2 linked regions of the Neurospora crassa OR74A genome follow. The main gene of each other region encodes a partner of the protein of the gene in region 2 in a complex. Links are inferred from orthologs where the notes say so. Each region holds a gene or a part of one and is shown on either strand. Other genes may lie near its edges. The genes, in order: gna-1 and gnb-1.

Region 1 (4,461 bases), about 2.2 Mb from region 2:
TTGCCCATAGGAAACCGGGACCGCCATTGCTCCCCTCTCCCACGCCGCCTGCAAAAACAAAGATAACACATCACGCGAATAAGCTTTCTTGGAAAAAACAGAAGAAGTAGAGTAAAAAAAAGGAAAAGAGACCTCGCTTGTCTTGGTATATCGTTTGCTGCACGCGCGCGCGCGCCGCAACGTTTCCCGCCCTCTGTTTTTCTTTGCCCTCTTACAGCCACAGAGGGGAGAATAGCGGAACGAAACGGGCGTCGCTCATCTCTTCGTCCGTCGTGGTTTTGGTAACCCCTGCTCTTTCTTCGCCTTTCCCTTCTCTACCTTCCCTCCAATCGGTAGCGACCTATTTGTTTCCAGCATCCTCTCCCCAGAACCCATGGGCTTGGATCCCATTACTTTCTCCCACACCACTCATGGAAAAACACCCGAGTAAGATTGAGAAAAGCACGCACGCCAAAATCATCCATTTCTTTTGTTGAGAGGGGCTTTTGCTTCCCGTAGCAGCCGCGGTGTCCCTGAGGAGAAAGAGCAAGGTGAAAAGCGCCCGGATCAGAGGGGATAGAAAAGATGATAGAAAAAAAAGAAATCGTACAGAACACCGATAGAGAGCAAAGACTCCAAGGTCGATGGGGAATCATGATTAAACAAAATAGTTAGCCCCCCTCTTGATGATGCTTCTCAAATGCAATTTCTCCAGGGACGCCCCGAGGTGTATGTAGAGCTCATATCCACTCGAAAGCCCACGCCACCTCCACTAGATCATAATCTGGAGGCAGAAACTGTGGGCATGGAGCCAGCGGCAGCGACTGGGCGGCAATACTCGAAGTTCTGATCGGTATCAACCGCTTGTCCGGACCTCACAGCCCCATTAACTGATGAAAAAATTAGAAAGATTGCGTTCAGTGCTCAAATCAAACCGCAGAGACGCAGGTTCTCCTGGATAATGATATCTGTTTTGGTCTGTTAGCTTCTTGTCCACGCAAAATTTCGAAGTAGACAAATAACATACCATTGACCGCAGCCATGACGAAACGAATTTGTGTGGTATCCGTCGCGCATGTGAAATGCGTGTAAATCTGCTTGGTCTCGTGCTGGTTCAAACTGACGAAGCGGTTGAGAATGTAGTCGCAAGCGGCAGCGTAGTCATCACCACCCTCGTAATCGGGGAAGTAGTTCTTCATCGGGCTGACCGGCAACTTCTCCTTAAACCTATCGATCTTGTTGAGGAAAAGAATGATGGATGTCTTGATGAACCACCTGGAGTTGCAGATGGAATCGAACAGAGTAAGGGCCTCCTGCATACGGTTGACGGTTTCATCTTCGAAAAGCAACTGATCGTACTCGGAAATGGCGACCAAGAAAAGAATGGTGGTGACGTTCTCGAAGCAGTGGATCCACTTCTTACGTTCGCTACGCTGGCCACCGACATCGAACATACGGTACGTAAGATCGCCAATAATGAAGGTCGTTTCCGTAATACCGGTTGTCTTGACACGTGATCGCAGAACGTCCTGGTCGTTGGGCATATAGTCGGGCGCGGCGATACGAGCGATGTTATCGAAGTAGCTGTGACAGCATGTTAGCGGTTGGAGACCAGAGCCTCCCTCATCATGCGGAGACTTACTATCTTGCCGAGTCGTTCAATTGGTATTCCCTTGACCTCTTAAAGCAGCTCTGGACGCCAGCGTCCCTCCAGAGGGCCTCGATAGCATTGCCAACCTCAGGAGGCAGCACGTCACCTTCTATTTGAGCGGGCTGCATGAAGATGGTCTGGACATGGTACTCGACGCGCTGATCGGCGAGTGGCAACTCTAGGGACTCCATGGCCTCGAGAATGACACGCATGGACTGCACAGTGTTGCTGAAGATGATTTCCTTGAACGACTCGCGCTCGTCGCGCGAGTAACCTCCTTCGTGGATAAGCTTCATCTGCTTCAAGATGGTCGACTTTCCGGATTCACCAGCACCTGCAACATATTGTCAGCTTCTGTGAAATTTCATTGGTGACCCAAGGGTCCGGACCAGGGCCGCGCCAGCAATTGGCTTGTCGGGGGGCATGACATACCCAGAAGAAGCATCTTGATCTCATTGCGTTGTTGCATGCGATCCCTCTTGAGCTGGTTCTCAATCTCCTCGTTCCGGGCCTTGCCCTCCTTCTCCTCTGTACTCATTCCGCAACCCATTTTGGCGACTTGTTGTAGCTCGTAGCAATGATAGAGAGTGTCTGTTTCGTTATTCGGGGATTATTATCGACGGTCTGGTGACGAGTTTGAGGTTAGTATCAGAGCGATGATAATTGAGACGAACTGGGACGTCGACAGGCGATTTGTATTTGTAAGTGTTAGGGGGGGCGAGAACCCCCTGGTCTCTGGGGGGACGGGAGGCAGTCCAGTTGGAGTCTCCGCTGCGAAAAATAGCGGGTGCCCTTCCAGAAACGAGCTAGAACCACCACCCCCGAAAAGCCTCGGAGTCGCTGTCATTGCGCCCATTGAAACCGCAAACAAATGTCGGATCGAGGCTCGATGGTCGATGCAGTTTCGAAGGTGTCGATTGTTGGGCATGGCAGCGCTCGGTGAGGTGCGATTGATGGGCAGCAAACAGGACAGACAGCCTTTGAGGGCAGCACGACGAGGCCAGAGGATAATGGGATGCAAAGGCGTTCGTTCTCTTGCGGTGGACTGGACTGAATGAAGTGCTTATGTTGCGAACCTACTCACTTTTTTTTTTCCGGCAGTATACCACGCAATTGCAATTAGGCCTTCAATCAACCGCACTTGATTGGAAGGGGAGCGTCGGATCGGTTGGTGCGAAAGGGAGAGACGGGTGCAGCTCGATAATTAGAAAGTCGTCAAGACCATACGATAGGTAGGTGATTGTCGCGAGGTAGGCGGCCAAGAGTAGAGTTGCTGCTGGACTCTCTCAGCAATTCGCGGTTTGCGGGAGGAAGGTTGTCGAGCCGGAAAACGGAAAACGAAAGGAAGGGAAAGATTGGGGAATTGGTGGAGGAATGGGAGGTTGGCTTTGTCGGTGTTAATGTGAGTGAAATGGAATGGTGCGCACTCTCACACCAGACCCAAACCAGGCGACCAGGCACACTCCAGCACTGATGCGTAGGTGCTGACTGCGTAGTGCGTACAGGCATCGGGCAGGCGCACAGTACAGGCACTACGCTAGACGGCACTCCGATTTCCAGTCCCAGTTCCATCAGTGAATTTCGGGGGCAGCGACCCAGCAGAGACCCACCGCGCACTCTCCAAGGTGAGATGGGCTCCAGCCGCGATGGCACTCTGGCTAATCAGAGGCGGTCGTTGCGTGCATGCAAGTGGGCCAATGCAACAGACCCTGGGCTGCCGGTCTTGGGAGTTGGGACGATGGACTCCTCCTCCTCGTTTGGATGCCGACCTGTACGACCATCATTGACCCTTTTCGTCCTATTTGAACCTCTTTTTTTGATAACACGGCTTTGCCCTTTGAGGTTGCTTTGCGACTGGCTGCCTTGCCCTGTGCCTGGCTTCCTAGTTCCAAACATTGTGAGTGGATGCTACTCTAGGCTGCTGTTCATGTTCATGCACCGCGTCGACGGTGGAAAGAGCGTAACATCGCCCACCCCCTTCGAGACCCTCTCTATCCATTTTGATCCATCGCCCACCCGACGTGTGCCCCTGGCCTGGCCTCCAGTGGCATCCGTACCTGGCATGACATGGAATGGAACAAAAACGGCGGACACCACTGGCCACCATCATCACCCTTTGCATTTCGACAATCGCCCTTTTCTGCTCCAGTTCCTCGCTCCAGTCCGGCCCATCCCATGCGATCACCAAGGGGATGGCCACATGGCGGTGGGCGAATTTTACCCCAAGACTGCCCATCCTGACCGTTTGAAATTTGGCCAGCCGATAACAGCCATTGTCGGTCGAATGAAAAAAAGCGTTTCCAGTTTTCATGTTTCTTGGTTCTCCTGACTTAGCTCAAAGAGTGGATCTCTGGGCAAAGGCTAGTCGGCATCCCAACGCGGCCATGTTTTTGCGCTGGAGCCGTGTCGAGCCCCGTTTCGTCCGTACCTCCGGGTCAGGAACAGAAGAAGAAGAAGAAGCAATGTACTGCGTAGTGTAGTGCCTACCTCGCTAACATCTCCATATTCCGTACACACACTACCGACTTCGTACACACAACACTACTACATGCGCTACGAATGCGCAGTCACTGCGATTAATGGCTTCTGTCAACACGAGACCGATTGAGTGATTGCAAAAACAAGATGTTGGAAACCCACTGAACTGTCCCGGGCCAGAATTAGCAACAGCGTATCAGCAAAGGTACGGGAAAGACCATGAGAATCTCTACAATTGATATGGTATCACGCCGCTGAGCACATCACGTCGTGCACGGATTTTGTGTATGTGCGATACGGTTCAGCGATTGGGAAACGAGGCTTATGAGGATAATCCCCTTCTCATTCCATCT
Region 2 (4,376 bases):
AAAGATGTGGATAAATACGTATAGAGAGGGTATCCGGTAAACTGGTTCAAGACACAACCCCTGTGAGAGACACTGGCAACCACTCATGTGGAATATGATACGACCCGTCGAGCCAGACCTTGATGATTATTGGACGTTCTGCTCCAGCCAAACCGGGTCCAAAAAACCTGGTACAGACGTCCCTGTAATAATGCCCGGGGAATTACGCGACCCGAAGTTGATGAACGTGTCGGATCATATTATCCGGGGGGACGTTTTCTGGAGGGGAGAGGCGGGTTGGCGTACGGAGAGCTGAACAAAGCCAGGATATCGCTGCCGCCCACCTTGCGAACTGAACCCGCTGAAAATATGACGCAGCAAATCGAGTGGAGTATCGGAAAAACCGCTATAGAAGCTAAAAAGGATTCCAACCGGGGAGCAAGGCCAGTTGATGATGGTCCAAGCCCGGGGAGCCGAGATTGTTGGGTCGAAAAATATGTCGTGACTTCGTCCTGTCTACGCCAAATCGCAAGGATCAAGAGGCGTTACCAGGTTGAATAGAACAAATAGAAAAAAGCACTCGATAGGCTTGGCAAAGTGACGCGTCGTGGTCGGGTATCCAGAGGGTGCCGGTCGTATCAGTATCACACATGCGCCTAATATGCCCAGACCTTGAGCTGTGAGGGAGTTAGTCTAATCTGCGGCCTGTACCATATCGATCTGATGTTGCGGGTAGAAACTTACCAAGGAGTCCCAAGAGCCTGTGCACAAACTTATTCCATCGTTGGAAACGCCCAGACAGCTGACACGGTTTTCATGACCGACGAGAGAGCCAACCTTTTCAGCGCGAGTAAGATCCCAGACCTTGCATTCAAAGTCATCGTAACCGGCAAAGAGCAAACGTCCAGAGACTGATGTCGCGACAGAGGTAATGCCGCAAAGAATAGATTCGGACTACCCAAATGTTAGCTCTAAAGCCACCAAGAGAAAAAAAAATCAAGAACCGAGAGGAGAATAATCCACAGGTTACTCACGCGATAGCAGTTCAACTCTCTGTCTGCGCGGATATCGAAAAGTCTGCAAGTAGCGTCATCGGAACCCGTTACGAAAGAGTGGCCATCGGGGAAAAACTGGATGGCGTTGATATCGGACTCGTGGCCAGCGAATGTTTGTACGGCCTTGCCAGCGCGGATATCCCAAAGCTTAGCGAAAGAATCGCAAGCACCTGACACAAAGGTATTCTGGTTTGTGGGGTTCAAGCTGATGCTCATGACGTCGCCCAAATGGTCGGCGAACTCAACAACCTTTGTTCCTGTCTCGATATCCCACTTCATGCATGTCATATCGCCGGAGGAGGTGAGGATGCTGCGGTCGTTGATGAAACGGCAGCAAGAGAGATAGCCCGCATGACCTGAAAGCTCCCGGTAGACACGAGTTGGGCCATCACGGTTCGAGTTCAGGTTGTAAATAGAGCAAATGTTGTCAAGACCACCGCAGGCAACGAAGTTGCCGCTCGGGGCATAGGCGCAAGTCATAACCCAAGACGATCGTAGGGGAATGGCGTGAACTTTGTTGGTCGTATAAGCGTCCCAGATGATGAGCTTGCCGTCCTGAGATGCTGAGACAAGATGCCTCCGGTCGGTAGACCAGTGCATCGCATAAATCTTGGCCAGATGGCCCTTCAGCGTCTTCTTTGTTTTCATCATGTTGTTCTTCGGAAGTGGCTCATGGGCCTGTTGCGCGACCTCGTAGACTACACATCATGTCAGCAACACTATGCAGCGGTCAATCCGCCGTTGACGACGGCATGCATGGGCGGACAACGGCGCAGTTCGCGACCTGCCGACAAGGGGACTCACGGGAAGTATCGGCGAGCCCTTCCTTCTTCAGCCTGATTCTGTCCTTGAGATTCTCGGCCTCGCGACGCGCTTGTTGAATTCGTGCCTGCATCGCCTCTGGCGACACATCGCTTGATCGGGAGTCCATCTTTCTCTTTTTTTTTTTTTCTTGAGGTGTGTTGGTTCAATTCGTAATCACAATTGGCGACGAACTCGTATGAGGGACGGACTACTCCGAAGTGATGTTGTTGTGACTGGTTGAGACAGGGAGAATGACGATGACAAAGGTTGGACTCTAGGGACGTCGGATCTTCAGAGATGCAGCAAGTCGGAGTCGGTTGCTGGAGTGTGGATGTTGAGAATGGTGCAAAGCAGTGGTGCTGGTACGGGGCGCCGGTGGAGGAGGAATTGCTAGCTCCAGGGGTCGGGCGATGCGGTGGTGGGCCAATTCAAACAGCTAGGCAGGCGAGGCAGGTCCCGATCCTGCTCTGAACGAAATGACTGCTGTTGGAAAAAATGAGGAGAGTGGTGGAGAGGGATTGGGGGGGAAAAGCCTCTTGCTTGTCCACGGACAGACTCTTGTCGAACGAATGAGTGGATGGCGGATATTGACCAGGCGAAGAGCGACCCTGACAACCTAGAGTATGGAGACTAAAGGCAGGCGTGCGTGGCGTCAGCTTTCGAGAGAGGGTGGCAGGGCAGTGATGGACAAGAGAGTCTCGAGCGACGCGACCGACGCGAGTGACTGTCAGGTCGTAAAAGCAAGTTGGAGAGGCTGTCGCTAATCGACAGGAGTTCGGTGGTGAAGAACAGAAAGAAGGGGAAAAAGAAGGACTGGGGATCGATTTCGCTTCTGCGAGTGGGCGGGCGGCCGAATCGAACTGGCGAACGAAGAGGCTGGCCAGAGTTCCTCTTCCTTGCGATTATTACCTGGTGCCAGATTGGGTATGGGCCCGGGGGGAGGGGCCCGGTCGGGGGGTAGCACGATGGAGCCTTTGCTGGGTCGCTGCGTGCACTGCACTGGGCTACTGTACTCTACTGTAGGGGCAGAGCGGAACCTCCTCACAGAGTGACGGGAGGCCTGCACTGGGTCTACCTGTACTACCTAGCCTGTACTAGTGTCCGGGTACGTCTACGCTTGGGGGCAGGTGGAAGGAATGGAGGCCGTGTCAAGCGTCGTCCTGTGAAGCAGTGTGGAAGTGAAAAGCCCCAAGAGCCGGGTGTCAATGGAAGCGGAAGCGAGTGCAGATTGAGGTTGTGGTGTACAACTAGGTACAGAGGAACGGATTCGGTTTTTCCAGGTTCGTTGGTGTCCAGTCGGGTCTCCCAGGCAATGGACGGGATGGATGATGCGTGCAGCAAACCTCCCCAATGGAGCGAGCACACTACACTACACACGTCTGCATGAATATACCTAGTTTACACCTACATAGTACATACATAGTAGTAAAAGAGCAGCGCGGTACAGCCAAGGCGCTAGTGGTTTTACAGAAATCTTCTGTTTGAGAATGATCAAACTTGTTATTTCTTGTACAAGCTGCCATCTTGGGTATGAAGGCCCTGCCACCCCCAGAGATCGCCCAATTCACGATTTTTTATCCATAACACAGGAGAGCCCGGTCGGCGGACAGCGGGCTGGATGGCGGGCCGAAGGGCTTGGATGATGGAACAAGACGGGACTTTTGAGAAGGGAGTAAAGGGATTTGTGAACCTTGAAGCTGGGGCAGTTATTTCGACTTCTTGCCCTCTGATTCTGATCTTCAACATTTCAACGGCGGACATGGACACCTCGCACTAGCCACGCCGCACCGGACTGCACCGCACCGCACCCCCGATGGAACAGGAAGAAAGAAAACGAGTTAAATCTTGCCAAGCTCTTCAACAAGCCTGGCCGAAGGCACCGGAGTCATGGATCTCTGAAATTGAAGGCTCCGTTGCGCCCCATTCCTCGGGTGCAGCTCCTCCCCCGTGGTTGATGGGCGCATGTCGACTTCTCGCAGAGTGGATGCAAAGAATATCCCGCCGACTGACGAGACCTCCACCAAGAAAAGCCAGGAGGTGGAAGCTAAAGAGACTGTGGGTTCTCTGTGGACTTGGTCACCCTGCTTCTTTGCAGTGAGTGCCCTGGTCTTGGGACGTGTAAGCGGGCGGACAGCAAGGCCCCGCGGACGAATTGCACTTTGCGCCGATGGAGAGCGGAGACGGCCCACGCAAATGCATGTGCACGGACTGGCTCCACCGGACGGACTTGGGGTCGTAAATGTTCGCTCGCGCAATGAACTCGATTGAAATCAACCAGACTTTACAAATTTCAGGCACCCACGCTCGCACGGTATCATTCAATCGCTTTGATTAGTAAACCCACTTCGATACAATACCACCACGGCCACGCTGAGATTTTCCCTTGCCTCACGGAGCTACAACGAATTCGACATTGATACAGTTGGGAATCCGGTGAGCTGTCTGGCCGTCCATGTGAGCTGTCAAGCTCCAAGAGATTTCAAGGTCTCATCAAACAGGCACTCCGTCCAAAGGCGAAGGCGCAAGGCACCAGGGGCA

What was found.
Region 1: the proteins of gnb-1 (region 2) and gna-1 are in contact, whole or in part, in a cryo-EM structure (PDB 7AD3), measured with the Saccharomyces cerevisiae proteins. The link is inferred for Neurospora crassa OR74A from reciprocal best matches to the Saccharomyces cerevisiae genes STE4 and GPA1. Residues at the interface, in NP_014855.3 of Saccharomyces cerevisiae: Asn85, Gly90, His91, Asn92, Lys94, Ser104, Gln112, Asp113, Phe115, Leu117, Ala122, Ser123, Leu125, Lys126, Gln127, Asn128, Ala129, Gln135, Trp136, Leu138, Leu154, Asn155, Asn156, Arg168, Cys182, Tyr183, Asp224, Leu226, Ser248, Asp272; in NP_011868.1 of Saccharomyces cerevisiae: Thr7, Gln8, Thr9, Ile10, Asn20, Lys21, Ala23, Asn24, Ile27, Glu28, Ser30, Leu31, Gln32, Glu34, Lys35, Asp38, Lys43, Thr301, Gly302, Ile303, Glu305, Leu318, Arg324, Ser325, Glu326, Lys329, Trp330, His332, Cys333, Phe334.

Annotation. Positions count from the first base shown.
Region 1 is NC_026503.1:1,614,150-1,618,610, forward strand, and holds the start of gna-1 (heterotrimeric G protein), read right to left. Parts: upstream 3,109-4,461; 5' UTR 2,715-3,108; intron 2,255-2,714; 5' UTR 2,181-2,254; coding exon 2,063-2,180; intron 1,965-2,062; coding exon 1,622-1,964; intron 1,564-1,621; coding exon 1,007-1,563; intron 948-1,006; coding exon 904-947; 3' UTR 1-903. UniProt on the Saccharomyces cerevisiae protein: Alpha subunit of the heterotrimeric guanine nucleotide-binding protein (G protein) that mediates mating pheromone signal transduction.
Region 2 is NC_026503.1:3,862,873-3,867,248, reverse strand, and holds the start of gnb-1 (guanine nucleotide-binding protein beta subunit), read right to left. Parts: upstream 2,809-4,376; 5' UTR 1,966-2,808; coding exon 1,839-1,965; intron 1,733-1,838; coding exon 1,014-1,732; intron 934-1,013; coding exon 724-933; intron 657-723; coding exon 636-656; 3' UTR 1-635. UniProt on the Saccharomyces cerevisiae protein: Implicated in the a- and alpha-factor response pathway. The beta and gamma chains of the putative yeast mating response pathway G protein play a positive role in initiation of the mating response.